4 linked regions of the Oreochromis niloticus genome follow. The protein of the gene in region 2 interacts with the protein of the main gene of each other region in a biochemical or structural test. Links are inferred from orthologs where the notes say so. Each region holds a gene or a part of one and is shown on either strand. Other genes may lie near its edges. The genes, in order: mitogen-activated protein kinase kinase kinase 11, map2k7, growth arrest and DNA damage-inducible protein GADD45 beta and mapk8ip2.

What was found.
Region 1: of the proteins of map2k7 (region 2) and mitogen-activated protein kinase kinase kinase 11, one has a biochemical effect on the other in vitro, tested with the Homo sapiens proteins (2 studies listed by BioGRID). The link is inferred for Oreochromis niloticus from reciprocal best matches to the Homo sapiens genes MAP2K7 and MAP3K11.
Region 3: the proteins of map2k7 (region 2) and growth arrest and DNA damage-inducible protein GADD45 beta form a complex in vitro, tested with the Homo sapiens proteins (2 studies listed by BioGRID and IntAct). The link is inferred for Oreochromis niloticus from reciprocal best matches to the Homo sapiens genes MAP2K7 and GADD45B.
Region 4: the proteins of map2k7 (region 2) and mapk8ip2 form a complex in vitro, tested with the Homo sapiens proteins (2 studies listed by BioGRID). The link is inferred for Oreochromis niloticus from reciprocal best matches to the Homo sapiens genes MAP2K7 and MAPK8IP2.

The regions. Positions count from the first base shown.
Region 1 is NC_031967.2:4,888,557-4,896,503, reverse strand, and holds the start of mitogen-activated protein kinase kinase kinase 11, read right to left. Parts: upstream 3,001-7,947; 5' UTR 1,751-3,000; coding exon 994-1,750; intron 1-993. Other genes in the region: drap1 (dr1-associated corepressor), read right to left, coding at 7,151-7,340. UniProt on the Homo sapiens protein: Activates the JUN N-terminal pathway. Required for serum-stimulated cell proliferation and for mitogen and cytokine activation of MAPK14 (p38), MAPK3 (ERK) and MAPK8 (JNK1) through phosphorylation and activation of MAP2K4/MKK4 and MAP2K7/MKK7.
Region 2 is NC_031971.2:26,956,116-26,963,951, reverse strand, and holds the start of map2k7 (dual specificity mitogen-activated protein kinase kinase 7), read right to left. Parts: upstream 3,001-7,836; 5' UTR 2,934-3,000; coding exon 2,810-2,933; intron 700-2,809; coding exon 652-699; intron 1-651. Other genes in the region: pkn1a (serine/threonine-protein kinase N1), read right to left, coding at 6,315-6,518, 7,521-7,601, 7,807-7,836. UniProt on the Homo sapiens protein: Dual specificity protein kinase which acts as an essential component of the MAP kinase signal transduction pathway. Essential component of the stress-activated protein kinase/c-Jun N-terminal kinase (SAP/JNK) signaling pathway.
Region 3 is NC_031980.2:37,373,169-37,380,085, forward strand, and holds growth arrest and DNA damage-inducible protein GADD45 beta, read right to left. Parts: upstream 2,182-6,917; 5' UTR 1,980-2,181; coding exon 1,936-1,979; intron 1,718-1,935; coding exon 1,616-1,717; intron 1,501-1,615; coding exon 1,278-1,500; intron 1,157-1,277; coding exon 1,043-1,156; 3' UTR 511-1,042; downstream 1-510.
Region 4 is NC_031972.2:55,888,994-55,896,738, forward strand, and holds the start of mapk8ip2 (C-Jun-amino-terminal kinase-interacting protein 2), read right to left. Parts: upstream 3,014-7,745; 5' UTR 2,578-3,013; coding exon 2,513-2,577; intron 1-2,512. Other genes in the region: zona pellucida sperm-binding protein 3, read right to left, coding at 4,345-4,409, 4,574-4,854, 4,941-5,023, 5,137-5,254, 5,361-5,535, 5,639-5,742, 5,941-6,059, 6,159-6,578. UniProt on the Homo sapiens protein: The JNK-interacting protein (JIP) group of scaffold proteins selectively mediates JNK signaling by aggregating specific components of the MAPK cascade to form a functional JNK signaling module.

The sequences.
Region 1 (7,947 bases), on a different chromosome or scaffold from region 2:
GTCACAGGAATGATAATAACAGAGAGCAAGCTGCTGCACAATTCAGCTGGCTCTCTGTTTGGGTTAAAGCTGCCGTTAGAGCTGAGAAAAGAGCTTCTTATTCTACAGAAAAAAAAGGGGGAGACAGAAAGCTTTATCAGTGATACATCTCCCTGCATTGTTGCTTTAATGACAAGGTCCAACGCCTACGTGTCTGCCACAAGGCCCCGAAAACACTGACGCAAGACCTTTGATGCAAGAAGAGGACAGCGTTAAAGTCCAAAGTGTGAGATATAACGGTGCCGAGAAGTAAAACTCGTCCACTGCATTCTTTCACAGGAAAAACTTGGTATTCTTGTCCTAGGAGCAGTATGCAAACACACACAAGCAGGCACACAAAGATGACAAACAAAAGTAAATTGACCCATGCAGTGAAGGGACCTGGAGTTATGCTGTGAGGGAATTTTGCTGGCAAGGTTAGGGTGCACATCCCCCACAAATCAATACAAAGTTGTAATGAGAGCGCCCCACCAAACTAAATATAGGAGCATGTTTTGGAAGAGTGGTGTGTTCAATCCATTCAGTGGAGCGCTGCAGACTGGTTTGGCACACACTGGCCCTGCATTTCCCTAAGACACTTTATGTTAATTTTTCCTGGTATGCGTCAGCCGTCTATAGGTCTGGCCTACCTTATATAGCCCAGGAGTCACATGATGTCAAAGTCTAGATAAATCTGAATTTCTTATCAATAATGATACAGAATCAGAATGAGAGACGGACTAATCTGGCAAACTGAATGATAGCTTAAAAGGCCCTCTTTGTTCTAGATAAAGCTTTGTAAACACTGAGAGATTCCTTTAGGAGCTTTACAGTACAGCCATGTTCATTAGAGCCATGAGGCTTTCCTAAGCAGAAGGCCCTGTAATTATATCCAAACCTTTGATTTCGTTGAACTAACCCCCAACAGACAGACTGAAGCTATGCTGATCTGCGCTGCGGGCTTGAAGGACTTACTGTTGTTGGACTTGAGATCCCGGTGGATGACAGGGACGATGGCTTCACTGTGCAGATACAACATCCCTCTGGCTATCTGCACAGCCCAGTTGACCAGGACGTGCGGTGGTATTCGACGGCCTGCCAGAGCACGGCTCAGCGGCCCACCTGAGGCGTACTCCATGATGAGACACAGGTTGGGCTCCTGCAGGCACACGCCCTTCAGGGCGATGATGTTGGGGTGGGTGAGCATGGAGAACAGACGGGCCTCCTGCCTCACGTTCTGCGCTGTCACGCTGATGTCCTCGTCCGGATCTTGGCGGGCGGCCTTCACCGCCACCAGCGCTCCTCTCCATGTACCACGATACACTTTTCCAAATCCCCCAACCCCGATGACCTCCTCCAGGCTCAACTCCCGGAAATCTACCTCTTCTGGTTCAAACTCACCCACCACAGCCGGAGCAAGCTCATCCACCACAGCACTGCCCGGAAGTTTTCCATATCCACTCGGCTTGAAGGAACCGTAGTTGGATGGGAAGATACCCACCTTGTTGTTGACCTTTCCCGCCCACCAGCCCTCATCCCCTGATATCTCCGAGTCCAGAGAGAGGACTTCCACCAGATCGCCTTTACGTAAGGTGAGCTCATCTTTACAGGATGCCTCATAGTCAAATAAGGCTGTCCACACAGGGTTGGTGAAGTTCCCTTTTTGCGATTGTTCCAAATTTTTCCAGTTGGACAGCGGGCCACGGCTGAATATATTCTTCAGTGGCTCCATGGAGCCTCAAGCAGATGTTTTGACTGGATCTGATTTAGCACCCCAAGGGTTTGAAAATAAAGTACAAAGGAGTACTTTATTGCGCCTCGCTCCCTTTCCTGTCTTTCTTGTTGGCTCATCAGGGACTAATGAAATGTGTTCAAAAGTTGGACCAACAAGTGGGCTAGAGGAGAGGAGTCAAAGACAACAGAAGCGCAAGTGTCTTTTATTCATCACCGCATTAAACTCGTCTCTCCATCGGATGAATCACTAGAGATTTCTTTTGTTTGATTAAGGCTAAGTGTTTCAAAGCTCAGAAAGACAGCACTGCTTCCACTGAAATTCTCTCTGTTCAAGTGATGTGGTGTGTGGTTTTCCAACACATGGTTTAAGCACAATATCATTTCACCGGCCTGTATTTAAGAGCCTCTCGAATCACCTCATTATGGCTAATTTAGCTCTTCTTCCCCCTCATTCAAAACTGCCACCTGTTGAGTCCTGACTTTGTTTTGTTTTTTTTTAGAGAGGGAAAGTTTAAGAACACGAATAAAAACTACTCAGCTTACTGTGAAACACTCCCAGGTACTGCTATTGCAACTGGTAATAAAGGTTCCCACCACACTTAACTGTCCATTTTAAGTTTTTATGTATTTTTAGCCATTAAGTGCAGTGGCCACCACAAGCAGGAAGCGCTGAGAAGCGGAGAAGAATAGCAGGAAAGGAGCATTCAGTCCAGCCAACCAGTGTTTTACGACAAGTTTCAGCGCTGTCCAGTCCGCATTAAGCCCAAAACTCCAATAACGGCGTCTCACCGCAACTTTGCGGCACTTCCGCAGGAAATCCCGCATCCCATTGCGCCAAAGTATCCATGCTCACGGTCTTATGGGAAGCACACAAATAGCCAGCCTTTACCATAACATAAAGCAAACTTGGGGACCGCTGACTTTGTAACAGGAAGAGCTCTCCAAACCTGCTCGGCTCTACTTTCCTCAGAGAAACGCAGTAAAAACAAATCCCGTTAGTTCCTGGTGGGAGTTCAGCGCGTGGCCTGGTCCGTCTCGAGTCCCCCGTTCTTACAGTCGGTATCCAAAGAGCGGAACAACTCCATCATAACTTCATATCACACTTGTCTTCCTCGGGCAGAGCTCACTCGCCAGGTTCTCGAACCACTTCTACGTCTGCGCTTACGGTCAGTGGAGAGGGTGGGGTTTCAAAACTTTTTTCTCTCCCAACAGGAAGAGTCAGATGACAGAGCGTCGTCAAGTTACGCGGAACGGCGTAACGCGTTCTCTTGAAACTTTCAAAATAAAACTTGTGGGCGCCTTTACGTGGTTGCGTTATAACTTAGAAGTTGGAAGTGTTTAGCTACCAAGCTGTGCATCACAATGCGCTATAATACTAACTTATATCTACATTTACTGTTACTAGAACTACTGCTATATATACTAAGTAGTATAATAATAGTACTACTATTACTACTACTACTACTACTACTATTAGTATTATTATTATTATTGTTATTGTTGTTGTTGTTGTTGTTAATAATCTTGCTTTCCTATGCAGTTAAAACCCTATACGAAGCCCTGTGTAATGTAATTTCAAGTTAGTATATATTATATACCTAATAAAAGTACCCAGATCTGAACGGGATACTATTTTGCAGCAGTAACCTGAGTTAAGAAATAATTATTTTGACATGTGAGCACAGGTAAAAGAATAAAGTTAAAGTGGTTTGTGGCCTCCTTTAAAAACTATAGTTTGTAGTTCTGATACTTTTATTTTAAAAGACTTCCCCAGTTCCCGTGTTTCGAAGTTAGCTAACTTCTTGTTAGCTAACTTCACCAAATTAAGCAGCTACTTACAAAACAACAAAGAGGAAGTTTTTGCCTACACTTACATTTTTTTAATCTAGCCCGATTAAAATGAGTTTTGACGAATTGACAATAATAGTCATTTAATGATGTGATTCTGAAATACTGGGTAAAAGAGACACATCTTTTAACCGCAGATGTTGTTTTGATTTTACGGTACAGTTTAATCTGACTTTTATTTTGAAAGAACCTGGGGAAAAATAAACTCATAAATGCTGCACTATAGTTATAAGTATGGTAGAATATTTAGTAATCCTGGTGATGATGTCACCTGGTGATGGAAGTCCATTAGTGCAAAATAAAGATTAATTTATGCAGTGAAAAGTTCAGATTGTGAGAACTACATAAATACAGTATTTCATAATTGGATTTTTTTTACATAAAATTTTGGATTTTTATTTTATTTTTATATTTTATAATTTAATTCAATATTACATGGAATATTATCTAGTGTTATACTAGAACAAATTTCTATGTAAATGTGGCTGTATTTCCTAAACAGTTCATGCAATGCTTTTGTTAAACCTTTTAAATTAAAGATGAAAGTCTGTATTTTAATCACATGTTGATTGTTTGATTTTAAATCCACCAAGGTGATGTACAGAGGCAAAACTACGAAAATTGTCCACATACTTGGAATACTTGTATGTCACCTGGGAATCAGGAACTGGCCCTGGTCACTGAACACTTTACCAGATATTTTTTCAAGGATGTGTGCGGCAGTCAGCATGTGTTTTGTGGATTTGGAGGAAAATTTTTCATTCCTCAAAGTGTCCATTGCATTGCTGAAAATAAGTCAGACCATTCTTTGGTGTTGGACTCTGCCAGGCTGTCCTTTGTCACTGTTTGTGTTCATAATTTCTATGGACAAAATTTCTAGCGTTCATGAGAAACTGCAGAAGGGGAAGGTTCAGTGGTCTCAGGATCTTGTTTCTGCTGCTGCTGATGTCGTTTCTTGGCTTCATCAAACCATAACCTCCCGTTTGCACTGGGACAGTTTACAGCAGCACGTGGATGAGAATTAGCACCTTTGAGTCTTGGGTCAAGGCTTTCAGCCACTCTGGGTCGAGGACTTGTTGCTGCCCCAAGTAAAGGAATTTTAAGTATCAGTAAGCAGAGAGGGAGGGTGGCATCCACAACCATCCATCTGCTGTTGTGAAGAGAGAGCTGGGTGATAAAAATGAAGCTCATGATTGACTGGTCCATCTACGTTCCCAACCATGTTTTTTAACATGACAAAAACACCCACACAGGGCGCACACCATGGTTTTGTAGTCACCTAATATTTAAAAGTTATTTAAAAATAGCCTTCAGTAAAGACTGGAGTATATTTTAGTAAGTGACTGCTGGTGTTCCCACTGATGAAGGTGCATTCTATCCATACAAACAAAAAGACTTTATCTTGGAAAAGGTCAGGGAATTCCTCTTGGCCATATTTTCCCATGTTTGTAAGTCAGTGCCTTCTCGGGAGGTGACGGGAATCAGAGGGTCACCTCTGTCCCCGCCGGCTCCTGTGTGGAAACAGCGTGCTTCCTTCTGTTAGCCCTTTGATGGCTCCCCTCCCCTCCCTCCTTCCCTGCACCACGGCTGCCGTTTGTTTGAACACCAACCTCCTAAAGTCAACTACCGACACCCCATCCCACCTTCCTCCCTCTTTACCCCACACACACACACACACACACACACTGAGCAAAACCCCTCCCTCCTCACAGTGCGCTGAGTCAACGCTTGTGCAGGAAGGATGCAGTTGTTTTCGTGGTCCCAGCTCTGCACTGCTTGGTCGGCTGTGTTTGGGGGTGGGTGTAAGAGAGGCGGCTGCGTTTACACGACAAAGGGGACTGTTTAAAAAAAGTAAAATAGAGGCAGGAGGAAGAGGAAAGGGGGCTGGATGAACAGTGTGCCAGCTACTCTGAACACAACGCAAGACCACGATAACAATCACCTCTTTCACTTTTCCACAAACCTGTACTGTCTTGCACTTTTATCTGATTAAATACCAGAAGGAGACTGCAAAGCTGTGTCTTTCAGGCTGCTTGAGTCACCGGTCGGCAGATGCACAGCATCCAAGGTAAACTGCACATTAGAAAATGCAGAGAATTCCAAAGCGCAAGGAGTTGGAACTACCAAGGATGTACTCCACACCCATGAAGGTAAAAAATTACAGTGGAGGGCTTTTGAAATATTAGGAAGTGTACTTTGGTTTTGCCTTTAAGCCGATATTGAATATGGAAAGTATTTCAAGCTCTCAATTCCAATGCAGAAATAAAACCAATACAAGGACCATTTTAATTGAAATATGAACTTTATTTTACATACAAAATAAAAAGAATGTTAAAAGTTTACAATACAGTGCCAACTGTCTGTTTGCGACCATTTCATACTGAGACTGACACATAAACGGGTGCCCCAACTCTGCTTCCAATCAACACATTTAAAAGAATCTAAAAAGGGGAGGAAAACAGTCAGGATAAAGGAGCAAGTTACTCAAAATTGGAGGAGAGGCCAGAACAGAAATGAGAGAGGACAATAGAGGAAAAAAGATTTTAAAAACAAACATATGGTCCAAGAGTCACAATATACTTCAGATGGGCAATTTAGGGGTATTAAATGGTCGTGTAAAGTAATAATAATAATAACAAGATCCAATTGCCAAAGTAACAGACCTCTGCCAGGGTCATGAACAACAAATAATCAATAACTCATTAACCTGCTGATATGATTGACTTCAGAGCTGTGGAGGTTTACAGTTCTCTTGATAAAAACGCGACTTAAAAATAGAAACTCATTTGGGGGGGGAGAAAAAAAAAAGTTGTAGCTAGCTAACGTATAGTAAAAAATACACCTGCTTCCTTATTTATGTTACAGCCGGAGAATTGGGCTGCAAGTCGTGACAAAGCCGGGAAGTACAGCTCACAGCTTAAAAGCTGTATATCACAGCCAATCTATAACATAGTCATAACACTTCAGCAGTGAGACACCAACCTCTCCGATGATCACCTTCCAAATACCGTGCTGTTGCCTTGAAAGAAAGCTTCAACAACTACTATGTACGGATTCTTTCAGCCACCCTGAGGATCTGAGTGACAACGACTGATATGTTCAGGTCTACAACAGGAAACTGAGGAAAAAAAGTTCCCAAAAGAAAAGAGAAAGAAAAGAAAAAGCTGCGAGGCCCAAGCTTGTCGTGTCTGCAAAAACGGTGACGACCGCCATTTTTCCTAGTCAAAAATCGAGGGACTGACTTGTTAAAAAAGATCCTCGTTGGATTCTTCTCTACAATAAAATAAAAGTTTCTTTAAAAAAAAAAAAAAGAAGAAAAAGAAAATTAAAACACATAATGTACAGGCTTTGTGTCTCTCGCGGTGGTGGTGGCTCTTATAGCTGGCCGTCAAGGGCGTTTTGGTCAGCAGGCTGCAATGAAGAGTCTCTCTCTCTCCTCTGCTTACAGCAGCTGCCAGAAAAACAACTTAAGAATTTGAAAAATAACATTGAGTGTGTGTGTGTGTTAGAAGAGAATGAGAGAGTGTGTGAGTGTAGCGCTGAGAACGAGCTAAGAGTCATAATCTTCATCGTCGTCGTCGTCCCCGTTCTTGTGCGGTGCAGGGACTGTGGGAGGTGGAGCCATGCTCATCATGGAGGCGTGTGGGGCGAAGGCCACGGTGCCCGGGGGTTGCGTCGGAGCCATGTTGCCCATTGGGACCATGTTGGCCATGTGCATATACTGAGGGGGAGCGTTGGAGCTGTGGGGGCACAGGAACAGGTGTTAACCTCTGAGGAGTCATGTCAAACCAAGTGCATTTTATGCACAAGCTACCTTTTAAATTTAAACATTATTAGTCAAATTAACTGTGCACTAAAAATAATGGACTATTTTTAGAGTTAAATATCCAAAATGAATCTTGATATTTACAGGGAACTCCAGGTACAACTTACTCAACTTGAGGCCAGCAAAGGTTTGGCTATTGATTCTAGTAGGAAAAGAGCGCCCTCTTCCTGTTTTTGGCATAATGTCAGCCACCAGATTTCTCTCTTAACAGGCTGCAGTTACCAGTCATATAGAAATATGCCTTTATGTGCTCTTAATGTGAGACTATATAACTTTTTGAGAGAGAAAAAAAGTTTGCTTGTCTGGAGATTTTCTTACAAATGAAAAGACAAATAGCAGCACCTTAATGGGAGGCACAACACGAAAACAGAGCTGAAAGATTATGTAAAGTAAATTGAGTGTTTATTTCTTGAGATAAGACAGCTTTGAACTCGATTTGCTGCTGATGTAATTACCAACCAATTAGTGCTTCTTCAGACAAGTCTTAAAATGTCATCCCAGTCAAGTGAAAAACCTAGCCT
Region 2 (7,836 bases):
TTCTTTGTATGAAGTCCAGGAAAAGCTTCCAAACAAGTGTCAGACTTAACAATGATAACAATGGTTAGAGAAAAAAAAGCATCGACTTGTTGGATCACAGTATTATCACCATTATCCAATATTTAGATTGTATGATCGGTGCATCCTTATTGAGTAGGAAATAAAACTGGATGTTTATATGCTGGACTGCTGATGGTAATCCATGTCTTTCACATAAGTTACTTTTATGAGTTATTCAAAGTCTATTCTAGTCTGCCAAGACAAAACAACGATATAACCCCATACTAGACGGTGGTCAGATTGAACACTAGCTGGCATCTGTAAATACAGTATCATATTTCTCACCATAGCCCTATCCATTCAACCTCTAAATTAAACGGGATGTTAAGAGAAACGTGGAGAAAGTCGTGGTATCGAGGTGTTTTTTAGGCTTTACTTGCAGGGCCAGAACAAAGAAAACTAATGAGAATGTAAGGACCAGCCAAAGTTATTCTTGTCTTATAGGGCTAAAGAAGTGTGCATTTATATTAAAAACAAAAACAAGAAAGAGAGAAGATGAAGGAGGAGGGAGTGGATGATGCAATGGAGGACAAAGGTGTTGGTAAGGTGGGGGGAGTGCAGTGGCAGAGAGAGCGATGGATTGAATGATACCTGCACGCTGGGAAGGGGCTGGAGCAGGACTGAGCTGGATCACGATGACTAGACGGAGGAAAGAAAATATACACACACACGCACATTACTGCAGTGTTCTACTGAGACAATCGCACATGTTTGCACACACACACACAGTCAAAAATCACAAAAACCCCTCAAAAGCAAACAAACAAACAAACAAAAACCTCACCCCACCACACACACATCACTCGCTCATTTCTTCACAACATAACTTGAGTGGTTTAAATTTAAACTGAACTTTTTCTTATTGTCTATTAATCTCATGAAGACTAAAATCAATTACACTGCACATTAATGAATCATAGTTTCTCTCATATTTTCTGTGGCACTCTTTTCCCAGGATTCAAAATAAGGCCACGTATTGAAGGTGCAAGAAAAAGTGGGTCAGTAGCTTACTGTGTCACTTCATATGAAACCAATTAAATCTGAAAAAAGCTCCATCCGGCCTCCTCATAATCAGCTGTTTTTTCTTATACAGTAACTTTAGTGTGTTTACTGAAGCCATGCAAAAGTTGACTGTCATTCAGTAAATACTCTGAGGTACAGGCCCTTAAGTACACATTGGTGGGTGATTTCACCATTTTCGCCTAAACCGGAAAACCGCAGTATTTAAACACTGGAGGAATCATATTTCAATATTTTGTCCAAATATTAGACTAGTGCATCTTCATTCTGTAAAAAAGAACATTTTATCTCCAGTCAGTATGGAGTGGGGATAAAACTTATCTTGTTGTAGTTTTTAAAGAGTTATTGTTGTTATTCAGTCAATTTATACTTGTGACGCTATCAAGAAAATAAAGTGGATTAAAAAGCACAGAGGGCCTGTCGTGTTGGAAAAGTGTCATGATGGGCAAGTTTTGCATGGCTTCATTAGACATTAATGACGCCAAAGTTAAAACAAGTGATTCTAATGGAGTCAATCTGGGAGGCAATCAGACTTTTCATGTAATAACACAAGGTGAAAAAAGCCAATTTTGCACCTTTTTTGGCAATAAATCAAGCTTTAATCTCGCAGAAATGACCTTTATCACCAGGATTTGAATCTCCGGGTGCACCTTTTTAGCAGGTTGTAGGCTTCAAATGAGATTTCAACAATAAGAAAAAACTTCGGATTTAACCCTCTCTTTGTGACAACATAATCAGCTTCATAAAAAACAATTCAAATAACAGGAGGAAAACGAAGGTTTGTGGTCTCGAACCTAATGAACGGACAACAAGATCTGCAGAAAAAAAAATGATAAGGGGTTCAGATTGCTAACACTTTGAAAGTCTGCTGGTAAGAATGTAAAGATAATGAAGAGCTTTGGTGTGTAAACCACAGCAGAGGCAGGCTGCAGACCTCCCTGCTGCTTGACTTTTCTCCTGAAAGGGCCCCAACATCACTGCTAACACCAGCTTCTGTGACACAGAGTTTGTGTCCACTAACACCCAAAGAGCGCTTCATTCAATATATGTGCGACAAATCTCAATTTTCACAAGATATGTTACGCCGCACCAGTGTTTGCCACAACAGCTAAGCCGTAACCTACGTAAAGTTAGCGTATCCAGGGCTAGCGTTATTTAGCCTGCTCAAATTAGCATGTTTCTTCAAGATCAAAATGGCAACTAAAATAAAGTCTATGGCAAAAATCACGATCAAATGTACTGGTTACAGGTTGTAAGAGTGTATAGATGCTCTGCGGCTGACTGGCAGGACCACAGATTTTCATGCGCAAACTGAAACTGCATTAAATTTTCTGACGCTGGGCCCCGCCACAGACTATCAGAGAGGCTGCTAGCCTGCTAGCTTAGCATGTTTGACAGGACAGAATCAAAACAGATTCAGGGACACGTCTACCGGCAAGATGTTTCGTAACATCGCTTCGGTTTGTACACTTTTCCTTTACGTTACTCACTACAGAAAATGTCCCACTTATTTAATTATTAATTTGGCAGTAAAATCAGCGGACCAGCCTGAGTCTGTGTTTGTTTATGTAGCTAGCCTGTTAGCATGAAGGTAGCAGCAGCATAACAGCCCCGACTCCTTCCCTCCGCTCCTCTCCTCTCCCCCCGCTCTCCGGCCCCGCAGCTCCGATCTTTCCCCGTGCTATTGTGGCCGTTACCGACACCCCGGTCCTCCCCTGTGGACACTCACTCGGCCTCGGTCGTGACCGCTGTGGACTCATGTCGATGTTGAGGTCGATTCTCCGGCGAGCTTCTTCATTCTCCTGCTTTAGTTTCTCCTCGATTCGCGACAGCCTCTGTTCCAGCGACGACATCTTGAAAAATTGAGCACCATGTAGTTCCCAGCAGAGCTCTCGACTCCCCTCTCTGGCAGGCAGGCCAGCAGCACACTGACTGACTGACTGACACACACATATACACACACATATACACACACGCTGCAGTACACACGCTCATTCTTTTTTCCCATAGATTCTTGGTGCCCACCTAAAGAAAATCACATTTTATACCCTAATACTGTTAAAAACAAATATTCTTGGTAGCAATTACCAATTAATTACCCATTTTCAGGCTTGGAAAAAAACCCCTGTTACTGGGCAGCAAGTAGAAATCAGAGTTTGTTTGCATTTTAGGACGCGCACAAAATGCACGTTTAGGTGTTAGTTTCAGTACAATTTGTGATATAAGGATAGCAGCAAGACTGAAAGGGAAGGTTTAAAACTGGTAGTCTGACCTACCAGACTGGGTTGGAGTTGAATATGCTCAGATTTTCAGGGAAATAAAGTCAGCACATGAATATTTAAGAGGAAAAAAAGAGACATTTCTTATGATTAAAGTTGTAATGAAAGTGGGCTGCTGCTGAACAGGTAGATTACACCAGGATTTTATAGTATGTACAACATCCTTATTGTTACAGCTGCTGTTCTCAGTACTTCCACCCCTCGATGCAAGATATGAACATCAATCTAATCTAATATGAAGTGTTCAGAGTATTTTAGATATAAAAACCACACAAAAAGATTCCACACATGTTATTCATGTTATAATTTCCCTGCAGGTAGTGGACATTTACTGAGATAATTTGAAGTGAAATGATTTATTTATTATTACTAGAATTTACTGTTTACATGGTGCTGAGAGTACATGAGGATAAGATGCAGATCGGCACTTATCATTGCGGATCCAGGAACTCCTGTTTCTAGGAAAGGCCGACCATTAAGGACCAGTTCTGATGTTTTTCCATTAGTGATGCTTTCTTCTTTAGCAGCCAGTCAGAAGTCAGGGAGACTCCAGGAGTTGGTGCAAATACAGCGAATCCAGTTAAAGTGATATGTTTGTTCACTAGTCCTGTGATAAGGTTAAAACTGCCACAAGGAGTCTTTTTTCTTCTAAAATTTTGACTCACATATTAAAACAGATGCTCATTACAGAGCAGAAATACTTAGCTTGCTACTTGATTCATTTTTCTCGGATGTAATTTCACGAGAAGAAGAAATGACAGATAATTTGACTTTGTCCATCAGGAGAATAAACTACTTATCCTCTAATTTCATTTTAGTCCTGCTCTGGCAGGTTTGAATGAATGTACTGATAAATGTTGATACAGAATCTGTGATAATGGGCTATATACGCTCACCAGCCATTTTATTGGGTACACCTTGCTAATACCATTTCAGAACTGTCTTAAAATATAATCCACGGCATTAAACCAGCAGCAGCCTGAACCACTGATAACAGTCAGGATAGATCCATGCTTTTATGTTCTTAATGCTGACTTCAGCTCGTATGGCCAGAGTGGTCTCCTGCTGCTGTAGCCCATCTGCTTTAATGTTCAACACGTTGCACGTTTAGAGATGCTCTTCTACATACTTTGTATTTAGCAAGTGGTTCTTTTTTTCCTGACCTCACTCCTCTTACAACAATAAGACATTTTCACCCAGAAAACCGCCAATCACTGGATATTTCCTCTGTTTTGGACTATTCTCTAAATTGCAGTGACGGATGTGCACATTCTGCTTCGAGAGGTCTAGAGGTGCGTAAGTGCACGGAGTTGCTGCCATGTGATTGGCTGATTAGATGTTTGAGTTAATGAGCAGTAAAACAGGCGTATCTAATAAAGTGGCCGTTGAGTATTCATTCAATCACTGCAGCAGGTGAGTAGCCAACGCATTACTGTTATTTTTATTTAAATGAATTTGAGATGCCCCTTTCCCCCGTCCCACGATGACAATAAAGAGACGATAATATTCACTCACGGTTTTCTTTATAAAATACGTCATCTCATACTCACATGGTTCTGTACTGTCGTACACAAGACAGGTAAAATCCACACCACCGCACATACATCTTAACAACAAACCACTGCTGTTGTGTGTTACACAGGTTTTCACTGTTGGCTCATCGTTTTCCTACAGATATCATCAAAGGTATTACCAAAGGTCTACGCCAGCTCTCGCCTCTAATTGGAGCTCTCGCCTCTCTAATTGGTTCTACTGTGGAAAAGCAGCTCATGTTTGTTTTGCGTATGGCGCCCGGCAGAATTTCCACAAGTACTTAGACATCAGCAAGTTTCGGAAACAGCCACAGCGACCGCGGCAGCCAGAGCGTAACCTGTCAGGGCTTAAGCTCCGAAAACAGACACTAAAACAACTTTTACAGCCAGTGAGGTTAAAGATTTAATCGCCTCGGAGGGAAATCACTTACTTCATGTTCACAAATCTCTGGTAGCACTCAGGTGACTGGATGAACGTGTCTCCAAACCCATAAAGAGCAGTTTGTTACTTGTACATCACAGTTTAGTGTTCAGATTTTTTCTTTTGGAATAATAAAAATGTTTTCCACAAAGCTTTTATGCTGACGGTTATGTGTGTGTGTGTGTGTGTGTGTGTGTGTGCTACACATTTATATCAAATTCTTCCTAAAACCCAAACATTCAACTAAAAAGGACGAGTCAACTGCTCTTGTAAAATCCGAGCAGCACAAGTTTAAAAAGTAGTTGGTGGACATCCAAAGGAAGGTCCACTGCAGTGAAGCAGGACAGTGGTTCTTTACCCATTAGTTAACTAATAATACACCTAAAAGCAGTCAAAAGACTGATGGTTATCAGCTCTGAGTGTCTTTTTTTTCCCTCTTCCAAAAACATAGAGGAGTTTCTGCAGCACACTGTATCCCTCCTCGCCCTGCTGCTGTACACAAAGGGCCACAAAGTAAAACAAAATGCTTTTTTTCTGTGGAACAAATACAAGTATAAACGTAAGGCATTGGTATGAGAGGCCACTGAGCAACCCCTAAACAGTCAAAAGTACAAAAATACAGCAAGCTCCGCCTCTTACAGCTGAACTGGCGACTGCCGAGATGCCTAAGAAGAAGGGAGGAGACTTTTTAAAGTCTGCAAGCTACAAAACCCACTGCAGTTTTGTACAGTGACTGGAAAGGGGGGCCTTTGTTTGTGATAGAACATTATAACCCCAACTAATATCTGTCCAGGCTTTCATTTGCTCAGTCCATGATCTTTAAAACTCTGCAGACACACGAAACACAGTCTCTTCGTCTTCAGTTTCATTCATTCACAGTGTAACAAGAAGCGACAGACGAGCGCGGACAGTCAGCTAGAGACATATCTCTCTGGTCTGGCTGAAACTGTTGCGAAGTCGTCGAAATCCAACGTTCCTCGAGATCTGTTGGCTTCGGGTCCACTAGCAGAGGTCAGAGACGTAGTCAAAGTCCCGGAAACTGTCCTGGTCTTTGCGGGAGAGCGAACGGGGCTCACGTGGAGGCGTGAGCGTCGGAGGTTCTGTGGTGAACTCCTCGTCAAAGTTACTGACGTCTTCTTTGCCGCCGATGGACGGGACGAAGGGAGGGGGCAACTTCTTCTGCAGCAGCGCCTCCCAGTCCATGCTCTGGAGGGAGAGACGGAGAAAAGGAGAAGGTGGGTCTATTATGCAAGGGAGCACACAGCAATGATGGAGGATATAAAGGATCAGGGCAAGAATTTATACACAAGGTAAAAACTTTTGACAAATAGCTGCATAGTATAGAAACTAGAGCCAACCAGCAACTGTAAAATGTCCTTGATGAATAAACCACAAAGGAGGGTTATGCAGAGCCAAGAATAAAAGCAAGAAGAGCAATTAAAACTGCAATTGAAAAGGCTTCGAAACAACCACCGTAACAGTCTGGCTGTAAACACCCGAGAAAAACCTCTTCCACCTCTCAGTGTTTGCTAACGAATCTCCATCCTGCGTTCTCATCTGTACCTTCAGATATCAGCTTTATTTTACTTAGTCTAAAACACAATGCTAACATTAAAATGGTAAATGGCCTGTATTTATATAGCGCTTTTCTAGTCCCTAGGGACCCCAAAGCGCTTTACATATCCAGTCATTCACACACCCATTCACACACTGGTGATGGCAAGCTACGTTGTAGCCACAGCCACCCTGGGGCGCACTGACAGAGGCGAGGCTGCCGGACACTGGCGCCACCAGGCCCTCTGACCACCACCAGTAGGCAACGGGTGAAGTGTCTTGCCCAAGGACACAACGACCGAGACTGTCCAAGCTGGGGCTCGAACCTGCAACCTTCCGATTACAAGGCGAACTCCCAACTCTTGAGCCACGATCGCCCCGAATCTGAAGGTACAGATGAGAACGCAGGATGGAGATTCGTTAGCAAACACTGAGAGGTGGAAGAGGTTTTTCTCGGGTGTTTACAGCCAGATGCTAACATGCTAACATTAATACATCACTAAAGCTTTCAGGTATCTGAGAGCTGATACTGCTGCTGAAAACAGACAATTTACCTAAATATTAAGAACAGGACATTCATTAGCAGAAGCTAAACTGAGACAGGCTCAGTTTGCACCCCCAACAAGTTGCCTAGGTAGCTCTAAGTCTACTTACTTTGAAAAATGGCTGCTTCTTCACCTCCTCTGCATCCTTCTCACCAGATCCCAATCTTCTCTCTGGGTTCCTCCTTAACAGCTGCACACAGACACACGAGAATAAGAAATGACGAGTGGATATAACAGCGAAGCATCAACTGTCTGACTGTGAGTAAGTGAGGATGCCGGACTGATTCAGTGTTTCACGTGTAAGTGCAGCATTTGTCACAAACAGTTTGTGTGTATGAGCGAACGCGCATGTGTGTGTGTGTGTGTGTGTGTGTGTGTGTGTGTGTTTGCTTTACCCTCCTCATGATGCCAATAGCCTCAGTGGA
Region 3 (6,917 bases), on a different chromosome or scaffold from region 2:
TATAAATATAATAAATGAAACTGAGTTTCATTTAATATAGCTGAATCAGTTCTCTGATGACAAGATCATGATACCATAGATGTCCTCTGCATGTTTTTTAGAACAGTAGGACGGGCTCAGAATAGAGAACTGAACTTTGTGCAAAATTAGTGGAATGTCCTTTAAAGAGTCCCCTTCACAGGGCCAGGGATAGCTCATAATTTGAGGTCCATGCAGCAGCCCAAGTACAAAAATTATATGAATCAAACTGGACCCAGAACGATTTGTCTTTCTACAAATATAGGACCTTGAACAGAACTTGGTAAGTTTCCTGTGGAACTCATGGGGCCAGAATTTGTTGATGGGCCCAACACTGCATGCTACTATAGTTTTCCTAGAAGCTAATTCTAGATTCTGTGACAGATTGTCCTCCTATGCGTTAGAAATAACACAAGACCCCTTAGAGATAGTAAAAAAAAAAACCACACACATACATACACATTTCTCTTAGATGAACCACACAAAAATCGATTATATTTCCATCAAAACTTTATTGACCAAACAGAATAAGACACAATGTGGCTTCACTTCTCACTTGTGGCTATTCTATTACATCAAGCAGACTCATATTTAATGTATTTAGATACATCAGTGTGTAAAATCACATCATGACAAAAGTTCCTGTGCAGCAAACAGGTAAGCAGAACACCTGCCACACCTGCAGCGCAGGTAGTCTAGAGCTTTACGTGCAGCTCTTCAGTTCGTTCATGTGACATCCATTTGCGTCACTCAAGTCCTGGTATTTCATCTTCACTTCCCCCTCTGCAGCTCCATGACTGAGACTTCCTGCTCAGTCTGGTCCAGCTTCCACAGCCACTACCAGTACCGACGTTTCACGTGCTCCACGAGGTCACAACGACCTCCCCCATCGGGCTCCCGGTTTGGGTCGGTCCGGCACAGCACAACAACTCAAACCGCGTTACTTCTGCGCAGGTTTGATTGTTTTCACTCTTTCTCACCGCTCCCCGGCGGTCTGATTCGGTTTGGCTTGGCCCGGTTCCAGTCAACGGTCCTGCAGCTCCAGGCAGGGCACCCACTGATTGCTGCATCGGCTCTCCTCACAGAAGCTGCCGACGTCTTGCAGGGCTTGGCACTGCAGAGGCTGCACTGGAGGGTTCTGCAAAACACGGTGGAGACGGACGGTTAGACTCTCGGAAACACTTTTTTTAAACTTACAACAGTATAATATCATGAACTTGTATCATTTCTCGAGTAGCTCAAAGGAAGTTCACACTTACAGTGACCAGAATGCAGTGCAGATCCCGGGGTTCGTTGCTGTTGCTGTCCTCGGTGTCCTCCTTTAGCAGCTGAGCCAGCCGCCTCATGCCTGACACCCGCAGGATGTTGATGTCGTTGTCGCAGCAGAAAGCCTGCAACAGCGTGAAATGGATCTGCAGCGCTATGTCGTCTTCATCCTCCTCATCAGTTGCGAGGATGCACAGTACAACGCTGTCTGGGTCTCTGCATGTGGGACAGAAGGTGAAAGACCCGGTTAATGTCAGCGTCATTACATATTTCTGATATCAAAAGCTTTGGCGTGGTTAATTAAGGTGAGCAAAATCAAACTTATACTTACACATTCATGAGTTTGGCGGACTCGTAGACTCCAACCGTGAGACAATCCTGCTGCTGAGCAGCGACCAGTAGCTCCTCCAGAGCTTGACTCACCGTCTCCATCCTGCAGAGAAGCGGAGGCGGTTAGAAATGTGCGAACGACACGACTAAACTGTGGCAAACAACTCTAAAGTCTACATATAAACTCCGGCGACACACTAAGCATGCAGATGCAACCTTTAAAGTACAAGCCGGCATTATAAACTCAACTAGAACGCGATCTGTAATGTCAGATCAAATGTGTCGGTGCGTAATTGTGCATCACACACAGCCGAAACTTACTTTTTTTCGGTGCTGTTTGATCCAACGACCTCTTCCAAAGTCATGTTGAAGTCAGTAAAATAATCCACAAGATCCAGGATAAGAAGAAATATCCACAGCGCGGAGATGCGGCTGTACTATGAAATTCCTGATACAACGTCCAAACACAGTGGTATTCCAGATCGTACAAAGGTCCTTTCAGAGTCCGTTAACGGTCAAACTGAGTAACAAGTCCGATTACTGCGAGTCCGTGAGTAGAAAGAAACTCTGCCTCTGTCAGCCGAAACTCTCTGTTATATTACTCCTTCCCGACCGTAGGCGTGGCCACGCCCAGTCTCTCGTTCGTTCATTGGTTTGCCGCTATGAATACATCCCCCGTTCTCTGCGCCCATTTGCTGAGCCCCAGAAGACGCTGGTGATCCCACGTTGGTGGTTTCGGAGAATCCCCCGCTCTCTCCCTCCTTTTCTTCCTACGCTTCTTGCGCCGCTCTCTCCCTCTCTCTCGGTTTGTTTACCGGCAGCTTTTCTTTCTGAGTGGAGGAATTTCCAGATCTCTGTCCCCCCCCCTCCCTCGTCCCCACTGGTAGAAGCTGGCCGAATAAAAGAAAGCTTCACCGTGGCAATGCTCTCGCATCGTGTTCGTGCACAAACCCCCCAAATACACCTGCACACCCGCGGAGACGTACATGAAATTCAAATGTATTTCAAATTATGTTATAAAAAGGAAGCTGGACCAGCTGACCAGCCCCGTGTGCGAGCACGCGCTGGGCGGACATTGTGTAACGGCGTTGTGCAAGAGCAAGGTTATAAGAAATGGGAAAAGGCCCTGTCTGATAAGCACGAGGCGAAATTCACGAGAATCTCAGATGACAGTGATGTTTCTCTTTTATATCACACATAAATTTATCTTTTTGTTTTCTTGCAAACCATTTGAGGCGCTATTGCAGCTGCAGAGCACGTTTTGTTCTGGAAGCTTCAGCTCAGCACCACTACCTCCAACAGGGATAAAAATAATCCCTATATATAGGAGCAGAGCTGTTTATCTGCTGAAGCCTGCAACAGCAGCGTGCAGAACAGAAGTATGTTACAACAACATTCAAAACTATTATTATAACCTTCATATTTCACATTCATGAATGCAGGTTCCCTTTTTCTGTCACATGCATTTTTAACATCACACGCAGAGCTGTCACACGTCTGATCGGTGGCCCTGTGTGATCAGGTCCACCTCACCGAGCCTGATATGAACTGTCTGCCCATTAAAACCAGGTCTCAGACTCCCTCCAGCGGCTCCCTAATGCATCTGCTGTCAGCGGCGAAAGCCCCAGAGAAGGCTTGTTGGAACAGCACCCTGCAACAACCGTTTGGTCACGTGCAGAGCAAGAGCGAGTCCCGGTCTTTGGAAAATATTGGGAATTCCTAAAGGGGAGGTTTAGTGAAAAACATTTTTAGGGGGTTTGATGTTTTGTTTTGTTTTTCGGGGACTTCCTGATTCTGAATTTCCACGAAAATAAAATTGAAAATGAAACTATTTACAGGCTTCACTTTACCATGTGCAGCAATTTATTAGAAATATATCAAAATCGGCCTGTAATCTGTGCAAACATAAAAGACGTTGTGTGCATAGGTAGAAGGGAAATTTGGCAGCCACGGCTAAACAGTTTGAAATCTATTTATTAGGAACATCCACAAATATATAGGGTTATCTAATAAACAATGAAATATTGTGTATTGTCGGTTACATTGTAAGCACTTAACTGATTTAGCACTTGTCCACTGAAATAGCAGAAAATCTGTTGGAGTTGCTGTATGAACAGATTTTTCTGGTGTTACTGCGCCACCTAGTGGTCCGATCTAAGGATTCACACTTTACGTGTATAAATAATTATGTCATGGTTTTGTTATATTTTATAGTGTTTTCTTACAGTATTTTTTTTTTACAGAAATAGATACAACTTAAATACATTAAAGTATTATATTTATTGCTATATTTAGATATTCATGGAAGAAAACAGTATAAAATGAAAGAAAGCAATAAAATAGATTTACAAGCAGTAACTAACAAATTATAGAATGTGAGTTTAATATAAAATCTCTTTTTCTGTTTCATTTTTTCTGAGCTTCAGTTGAGATCCAGTGACCGTGAAGGCCATAACATATGATTTGTATGAGGGCTCACCAATAACCTTATAACAGGTATGCACTTTATTCAATTCAATTCAATTTTATTTATATAGCACCAAATCACAACAACAGTGGTCTCAAGGTGCTTTATATTGTACCGTAGATCGTACAATAATAGATACAGAGAAAAACCCAACAATCATATGACCCCCTATGAGCAAGCACTTTGGCGACAGTGGGAAGGAAAAACTCCCTTTTAACAGGAAGAAACCTCCAGCAGAACCAGGCTCAGGGAGGGGCGGGGCCATCTGCTGCGACCGGTTGGGGTGAGAGAAGGAAGACAGGATAAAGACATGCTGTGGAAGAGAGACAGAGATTAATAACAGATATGATTCGATGCAGAGAGGTCTGTTAACACATAGTGAGTGAGAAAGGTGACTGGAAAGGAAAAACTCAATGCATCATGGGAATCCCCAGCAGCCTACGTTTATTGCAGCATAACTAAGGGAGGATTCAGGGTCACCTGGTCCAGCCCTAACTATATGCTTTAGCAAAAAGGAAAGTTTGAAGCCTAATCTTGAAAGTAGAGATAGTGTCTGTCTCCCGAATCCAAACTGGAAGCTGGTTCCACAGAAGAGGGGCCTGAAAACTGAAGGCTCTGCCTCCCATTCTACTTTTAAATACTCTAGGAACAACAAGTAGGCCTGCAGTGTGAGAGCGAAGTGCTCTAATAGGGTGATATGGTACTACAAGGTCATTAAGATAAGATGGGGCCTGATTATTTAAGACCTTGTATGTGAGGAGCAGGATTTTGAATTCTGGATTTAACAGGAAGCCAATGAAGGGAAGCCAAAACAGGAGAAATATGCTCTCTCTTTCTAGTCCCTGTCAGTACCCTTGCTGCAGCATTTTGGATCAGCTGAAGGCTTTTCAGGGAGTTTTTAGCACATCCTGATAATAATGAATTACAGTAGTCCAGCCTGGAAGTAATAAATGCATGAACTAGTTTTTCAGCGTCACTCTGAGACAGGATATTTCTAATTTTAGAGATGTTGCGCAAATGGAAGAAAGCAGTCTTACATATTTGTTTAATATGTGCATTGAAGGACATGTCCTGGTCAAAAATGACTCCAAGGTTCCTCACAGTGTTACTGGAGGCCAAGGTAATGCCATCCAGAGTAAGAATCTGCTTAGATACCATATTTCTAAGATTTTCAGGGCCGAGTACAATAACCTCAGTTTGATCTGAATTAAGAAGCAGAAAGTTAGCGGCCATCCAGGTCTTTATGTCTTTAAGACATTCCTGCAGTTTAACTAATTGCTGTGTGTTACCTGGCTTCATGGATAGATAGAGCTGCGTGTCATCAGCATAGCAGTGAAAATGTATGCTATGTCTTCTAATGATGTTGCCTAGGGGAAGCATGTATAATGTAAATAGAATTGGTCCTAGCACTGAACCCTGTGGAACACCATAATTGACCTTAGTGTCTGAAGAGGACTCTCCATTTACATGTACAAACTGGAGTCTATTAGATAGATATGATACAAACCACTGCAGTGCAGTACCTGTAATACCTACAGCATGCTCTAATCGCTCTAATAGGATATTATGGTCGACAGTATCGAACGCTGCACTGAGGTCTAGCAGGACAAGCACAGAGATGAGTCCACTGTCAGAGGCCATAAGAAGATCATTTGTAACCTTCACTAAAGCTGTTTCTGTGCTGTGATGAGCTCTGAAACCTGACTGAAACTCTTCAAATAAGCCATTCCTCTGCAGATGATCTGTTAGCTGTTTGACAACTACTCTTTCAAGGATGTTTGATATGAAAGGAAGGTTGGAGATTGGCCTATAATTAGCTAAGACAGCTGGGTCTAGAGATGCTTTTTGAGTAAAGGTTTAACTACAGCCAGCTTGAAGGCCTGTGGTACATAGCCGATTATTAGAGATAGGTTGATCATATTTAAGATTGAAGCATTAATTAATGGCAGGACTTCTTTGAGCAGTTTTGTAGGAATGGGGTCTAAAAGACACGTTGATGGTTTGGAGGAAGTAATTATTGAAGTTAACTCAGAAAGATCAATTGGAGAAAAAGAGTCTAAATGAACATCAATGGTACTGAAAGTAGCTGTAGATAATATTACATCTGTGGGATGATTATTGGTAATTTTTTCTCTAATGATAAAAATTTTATTTGTGAAGAAGTTCATGAAGTCCTTACTAGTTAACGTTAAAGGGATGGTTGGCTCAGTAGAGCTCTGACTGTTTGTCAGCCTGGCTACAGTGCTGAAGAGAAACCTGGGGTTGTTCTTATTTTCTTCAATCAGTGACGAATAGTAAGATGTTCTGGCTTTGCGGAGGGCTTTCTTATAAAGCAGCAAACTATTTCTCCAGGCTAAATGATGATCCTCTAAATTTGTGACACGCCATTTCCTCTCCAGTTTACGAGTTATCTGCTTTAGGCTACGTGTTTGAGAATTATACCACGGAGTCAGGTACTTCTGATTTGAGGCCTTAGTTTTCACAGGAGCTACAGTATCCAGAGTCGTACGTAGTGAGGAGGTAAAATTATTAACAAGATAATCGACCTCTGTTGGAGTAGCGTTCAGATAGCTGCTCTGCTCTATGTTGGTACAGGGCATTGAAGATGATAACAGTGGGTGGATTATATTCTTAAACTTAGGTACAGCACTTTCAGAAAGACATCTACTGTGATAAAGTCTACTCTCCACTGCTGTGTAATCAATTATTGTAAATGTAAATGTTATCAGGAAATGATCAGACAGCAGAGGGTTTTCAGGAAACACTGTTAAATGTTCAGTTTCTATGCCATATGTTAAAACAAGATCTAGAGTGTGATTAAAGTGGTGGGTGGGTT
Region 4 (7,745 bases), on a different chromosome or scaffold from region 2:
CAGCTGAGGATGTTATCCATCCGCAAAGGGGAACTTATAACCAATAATAATATTCTGGTGCTCCGGGGAGAGAGGTGCTGCCTCTCATGGATTTTGTTGCCTACTGGAAACAGTGTTAGGGTTATGCAAGGCAGATTACCAGACCACACCATCACACAACTGGTGGCTTCACTCATGAATCAGTCACACACAGATGCACAGAGAAAGAGACAACACACACACACACATACACACACCAAAGCTGTGACACAATCAGACATTTACAGAAAAACTCTCTTTCTACATCCCTTCTTACTGATATTTCATAATCAAAAAGTGAAGAGCCAACCAAAAATAAACACAAACCACTTGTTCCCTCTCAAATGTATAAAAAAAACTACCTGAAAACAACAGAAACAAACCGATTAGCCTCCACAAAGGAGTAATGCAATAAACTACTCCTCACATGATTCCTCTAATATAATTAAGATTCGTTAGATTTGGCTGTAGTGCCGTGAATTTAAAACATTAATACCATGGCCAGGGCTTGGCTGAGTGAGCTGACTAAGGTCACCGGTAGTCATGCAAACGATCTGGTCATATTGATCTGACATGATCCAGCAATGCAGTTGAAATCCCACATGAGTACATGCTGTGGATATAAAATCTACCAGGACTGGTTTGCTAATGTGATTGCCTCTATAGGATATGAGCCATGTTGGAGGCAGAAGCAGGCATGTTGAAATGAAATGTGTTTATTTCATACAAATTAGAGCACAGGGCTTATGCTATCCTGATAAATACGCCAGATACAGACTTTTAGTGTAGTAGTTTATCCAGCTTCTCTCTGCTACTCTGTGCTAGTAATTTATAGTAGCTGTATGTTGTAGTGGTGCAACACAGTTAGAAATATCAGTGTTTTCTTTATTATTCCTGCTATGTTTGGTGACACAGAGTAAAGCCTTACAGCAGCCCCTGAAGGTTATATGTCATAACATATGAAAATCATATGAAAAGTTGAAATAGAGACAGGTTGTTATTATTATTAATCATTCCAGGGAAAAGATACTGCAAGTAGTGTAAGAACTTTGGCCTTTGGAATTGTACATACATCAATATATAGGATTTACTGTTGATGAATTTATGAACTATGAGGTTAGAATTCAAATAATCAGCTGTAAGAGCCAGTGGGGTCTATTATCAACAAATCCAAAGTATTGTGTTAAATTATGCTTCAGGAACTTAAAGATGTAAAATGGTTGACTATACAGATTAGAGCTGTGCCCTCTGGTTATAGATTAAATTGCAAATATATATCCACGCTGAGAAAAAATACAACACTGAAGCCCACGTTATTGCCAACTTATCAAGAAGTCAAAGGACTGTGAACAGGACACCTTCATTCCTGCAAACTTCCTTGAATATAGCACTAAAAATACATCCAGGACCATGAAAGGCTGTACAAATTATGTAAATTAGGAGAAAATCAAAATGAATATTTTTCTTTATTGTATATTTTATGATTTAAGAATGTCTACAATTAATAAGAAGCTTGATTTTTTTTAATCCAGAACTGTATTATTTTTATTTTTTATTTTTTATTTTTTGCATTTCTTGTCTAAAGCTTAGAAAAGATACCAGGTTGGTTTACTTGTTTAATACTTGTAAGTTATGGTGCTACTTTAACTCTGGTCTTTGTTAGTGATGTCTTGCAAGTCTGTTTATGCTGATCACATTGTTATAACACATTAATATTATTTGTTATGTTACACTGTTACCAATACACATCCAGGATCAAAAGTAGGTTTACTGCACTCTCTTCACACAGTTCATTAAATTTACTACAAGATGTCTCAGTGTTTCTCATCTTACCAGGCCAATTACACTACAACAAGCCAAACTGTATATTTTAAACAACAACAACACCCTTGTAGAGAGCACTGATTTAACGCTACGTGTGAAATAAGTTGCCTCTGCAAGAGTAACCCACCCACAAATATGCTTCTACAAGAAGAAACCGGGGGTGATTTGTCATGCTGATTGTCGCAGAGGTCACATTAGAGGCGTTTGACACAACATCAATATCAGTAGGACTTCCGTAAATCATTGTTCAGCAACGTGCCCTTGCCTGGGTTGGACTCAACAGGGCGTGGGCCTCACACAGAGAATGCGCAAAGCGGGTGACTGTCGCCACAGCTAGAGATCAGTCATATGCAATATGTTTTACAATTTGCCATTCTTTGCAATTTTCAGAAATTACTAAAACGCGAGTCTTTTTTTCCCTCTTCACCAAGTCGTCTCTCCCAAAAACATAAACAACCAGCAATGTTCAGCTGCAGCACCTACATGCGCGCAGTGAGGCAGCAGAAGGCCGAGCAGGTTATTCACAGTATCTATTACAACCTAGGCTGGGGATGTGCGTTTTTACTGCAGTCATCAAAGCAGCACAGACCGATATGCATGGCGCTTTTTCATATCAGCCCAGCGCATCCTCCATCGACCCTTCACTGTCACTTTACATACGAGCTCTTACCTGCATCCAGGAGGAGAGAGAGAATGGAAGGTGGATAGGGAAAACATCTCAGCCCTGTCCGCCATCTTCTTCTACAAATGACTCAGAGCGACTGCAGAAAATCACGGAGGGAGCGCAGTCCATTCACAATTACAGCGCACGGGACGGGACAGTGGACAGAGGTTTCTCTATCTGCGGCCCCACAGATGCCCCCCTGGCCGCAAGCCTTCAATCAGACAAGCCTGCTCAGCACCATGAAATCTGCAGTCAACCATCCACACAGGCAGGATAAGGAGGGGTGTCAAGGCAAATAAGACAAAAAAAAAGAGCTTCAGCGGCAGCGCGCAGTAACACGGAAATCTCTGTGTTCCCCGGTTATGTCCTTGCAAAACATGAAGCGGGCAATTTGTATCCGCAGTCCGTGTTTTTCTCTCCAAATGTCTGCCGCTGTGATGCTGCCCGTGACACACAACAGATACAGGCCAGCAGTGCGGAGACAGGCAGAGACGGAGGAGGAGGGGGTGTGGAGCGGAGACGGTATAACGTCAGTGCTGATACCATATGAACAGGCTGTGCTGAGTGGATGTAGTCAGAGCCTAGAGGGTCACACGGAGCAAAACAGATAAAACAGCGGCCATAAAGTTGTTTAGATGACATTATAGTGAGTAAAATTTGCAGGCAAAGCAAACGTGCTTTTCGCGCTAACGTCCGTGTGGACCAGCCTTGGGGAGATCCGAGGATTCCCCGGGAAAAGGCAGGGACTTCAACTTTAAATCCTCGTTTTGTAACCGTGCCTTAGAATGGACTGGAGGACGCTTTTTAATTGCAAGGTCTACAAGGCCTGTATACTGTAACGTGTCCCATTTGGTGGCCTCTGCAGTGTGGGTGAACACATGAAATCTAATTATATGAATTTTAATTTCCGGTCCATAACTTGCCGATTTCCATCGTGACCCAAATAAAAATGAGTTTAATAAAACACAGAGAACATCCATAAAACCTATAGGCACACTTTGAAGTGTTTGGCTACTTATACTGCTCTATGATCAGACCTCCCGTGTAGCTGTTCACTGCATGTGGTGCTGAAAATCTCTCTCGCTAAACTGAAGTGTAGCATTTATACCACACGGTGACAGCAAAAGCTCACTGCTGAATGAAAACCGGACTTACATGGAAGCACAATAAAAGCCATGATTAGAGCCCGGATTTCCGGTTTTTTCGCTCTTTGAGGTGTAGATGCTGACTCTGATAATTGACTGAAATGGCATCTGATTGTGCTGATTGTGAATGGCTTCTTCCTTCATCCACTTATGATTTCTGAGTGATATGATATTGATTTGTTTTACCTTTTTGTTTGTTTGTTTTACCCTAAAAGCATGCATATTGATAGAATTACAACAAGAAGACAGATGACTATATTGTCTAACATGTGCTATTGAGTAATTTTTGCTCAACCCCTGATTGCTCTTTTAACTCATTATACTTGTTATTATATCTATTCAATGTTTCTTTATGAGTAGATTTTATTTTTTGTTTCAATTTACAATAGATTCAATGCACAGCTTAAGAAAGTTCTGAATGAATTACACAATAAATTCAAACAGTTGCATTTTTATTTCCATTACATGTGAATAGTTCCAATCCATGGACAGACAAGCTCCATATAAAACATTTGTAATTACAGAGAGGGGGCATGTAAAAGGAGTTACGTTTCAGTGAAGGGCCTTTTCATTCCTCAATGTCTTATTATATTGTTGTGAGCTATGAATAAGAAGAATGAAATTAACATATGTTCAGGCATGAACCACAGATGAAGTTCATTTTAATGGCCGTGTTTATAGCAGGAAATTGTTTTAAGCTATCGTCTTCTCTTCAATGGAGATGGGACCCAAGGTGACTTCTCCTTCCCATTCCAAAACTGAGAAAAGAAAGAAGAATTGTTGCAGTATGCATCATTATGTTTTTTTTTACTTAAAAAATAGAAAGCATAAAACAATTACTAATCTTTTTGTAGGACCAAATGAAATGAAACTTTCCCTCTACTAAAATGTTGCAATACTTGTATTTTTTTAAAACACATACCTTCCTGCTGAGACACGTCCCGTGTCCTCCTAAACCAAGGGACCTTAGTACCCAAGTTTGTAGAACCCGGCGTTCCACCACCAGTATTTCCAGTTCCCGTTCCTGTATTTCCAGTTCCTGTTCCTGTATTTCCAGTTCCCGTGCCTGTAGTCCCTGTTCCTGTATTTCCCGTGCCTGTATTACCAAATCCACCTCCAGTACTGTCACTTATAATTCCAGTATTAGTTTGTCCAGACTCACAGGAGCCACAAGCACCATCAAATCCACTAGCTTCCTTCCACCTTGGGAGAAATGGAAATGTAAGCAGTACCGCCACATCAGTTCTGGTCTAATGATCATTGATACATGTGTACAAAGGTAGACTCACCCACGGAAGTAGGAACAAGCTCTGTGGTTACTGTCAATGGCTTGGGCAACAGATGTTGCTCTCAAGTTGCAGGTAATGTACAGCTTTAAGAACAGGAGAGAATTTATGTTATTATTCTATGTAATAGTTCTACATTAGTAATGTTGTTGAAAATATAACACAGTGCACTCAGTAACTCAAATTTGGAATTGCATACTTTTCCACTGTTAGCACTCAGGAATTTGAAGGATTCAAGCTGGAACTGAAGCTTGTTCTCTGCAGTGCGATCCAGGAACCTCGAGACAGATCCAGTGAGCCTACCGTCAATCATACACCTGCACACAAGAAAACAATGTGAAATAACCAAAGTAACATAGGCGTCTGTGATAATCAGGTCCTAATATACAAAACAACTTCAATAATCTCATCAAACTGCTTTACCCATGCTCTATGAATGCATATCTTGGGCTAGAAGATGCATCGGCTGAAAGGGTAGCTACACATTTGTCCACATAAACACGGAGCTGCACATGGTGGTACTGCATGACAGAGACCTCAAAATTAATCTCGTCACCCAGGAAATACTGGTTGCTTGGCCTCTCATTTTTCCAGTCATCTGTGAAACAAGACATGACAATTTTATAATTCAAACAAGTATGCATTTTGAATCAAGGTCGCATACGATATAAAATACACTGAGAAACTGATCTTAAACGCACCAGTCATGAGTGTCAGGGTGAAGTATAGAAACTCTTGTGCCATCTTAGCGGCAGAGAATGGCACCCAGAGGGGTTCAAGAGCGAGACTGCTTACATTGTGCTTTCTAAGTGACAGGACATGTTTTACAGGAATGCAAAAAACTAAAGCAAGAATAACATATCATTGAAATATCCAGATTACATTTGGTAAATTCTAGATTACTAAAAATATTTAGGTCGTACTATAGAGCACATTAAATAGCAATATAATTCTGTTGTTTTGATGTCTTTATCTTAACAAATCTTCCCAACTGTTTACGTACCTTTGGTAGTGACATTCCACAACTACAGCTGCATTGTTGGTCCTAATCACAGGAGAACCACCCACAGGCTGGGGGTTGTAGTTCATTGTGAAGGTGTAGATGAAGGAATCTCCAGTCATCTATCAAACATATATATACAAAACAAGTCAAATTATACATAAACCTGTTCCCAGCACTTGAATTAAATTTCACAATAATGTAATATTTATTCTCCATACTCTTAATGTGCTCCCACAATTCTGCAGCTGAGCTTGATAAATCAGCACTTGAGCTGCCGTATCCTCTCCGACAACAGCGCATGATCCCAGGGTAAGGTCAGCCGAATTTATCAGCTGGCCAACTCCAAAGAAATCCTTTTTGACTTCCACATGAACAATGTCCTCCCTGCAGTCAACAGCAACAGTTGCAGCAGAAACTGGATATCTCAGCTGGAACGGCACGTCAGCCTTGGGTTTGGGCTTAGGATCTTCAGGGTATGTCCACGTGAGTGGTTTTTCAAATATTTGTTTTTGTTGTTGGAGGTCTGGAGGCCACACCTTAGGCACAAAAGGTGGTGAGGTACGGCTCACACCCTGAGCATCACAGAAACCAAGCAAGGCCAGTGCCACAAGGCAAACAGTGGCACACTTCAGCAGCATGGTTTCACAACAACAAGTGCCCACAGTAGTTCACTAGGTGCTGTAAGGGAGTTGGAAATGTCCACCTGCTTTTATAACACAGTCAACTTGTTTACTTTCGCTACATTCCCACCCCTTCAGCTGACCATTCCCCTCAGGGTTGATGAGTGCAAATTTTAGCCAGTGGAATGACTGCAGTCACTATCCAGCAATTATGCAAATGTACTGTTTATAAGATTTGGGGAAACCTGCAGTCAGCTGAGACTGAAGAAGTCACTTGGATGAGTGACGAAACGTTTCTCCCACAAAACGCTACGTCCAGATGAACAGATTCAACTTTTGGAGATATCCAGCAACTGTTTTATACATCTGGATTCAGATTCTTCAGTTTCTTAGTCATAAAATGTGACTGTGGAGCACACAGGCAAATCTTCTTCAAGCATGTTTTCTTCAAACAAGTGAGAAAAGATATTCAAACAGGTGACAAAGATGCAGCAGAAAAACAGGACACAAAAGGTTATGTTGACCCTGGTTTAGGTGCCCCTAACATAGTAGATCAAAATCAATATTTTGCCAAAGCACCTTGTGTAAAGCTCTGCAGATCAATATGGCTCTAATCCGTAACAGATTAACCACCAACCACAAAATGAAAGAAGCGGATATGAGAAAGAATTCATTAACAACCAGCTGCAGTACTCTGGACAGCTTCACAGGTATCGATGAAAGTACGATAAATGCAGGGGGAAAAGCCTTTCTCAGGATCTCGCAAAAGGTTTTATGGGATCTTGCAAAAGTACATTGTTTTGTGTGGGTGGGGGGGGATAAAAGAACGTGTAAAAGAAGTGTCTCTGTTTTTATGTGATTAATGAGTGCAGCTGTACAGACAACAGTGACAGAATGTTTAATTGTGGAAACACAAGTTTCTCTTGTGGCTCAGATAAATAAATAATAGTATCTGTACAATTTACACAATACTTCTTCTCTGGTTTAATTTGTTTATACCACTTTTTAATTTACTCAGAATTGCCTCTCAAGATGCTATTATTACAAATTCATGACTTTATTGGGTTTTAACGTAAAATAAACAGTTTAGTCGTATGAAGAGTGACTTAAAAAACAAATGAATAAAAATGCATCCTAAACAAGAGCTTGACTCTGAGGAGGTTAAGAAACTGTATATTCTGTTTG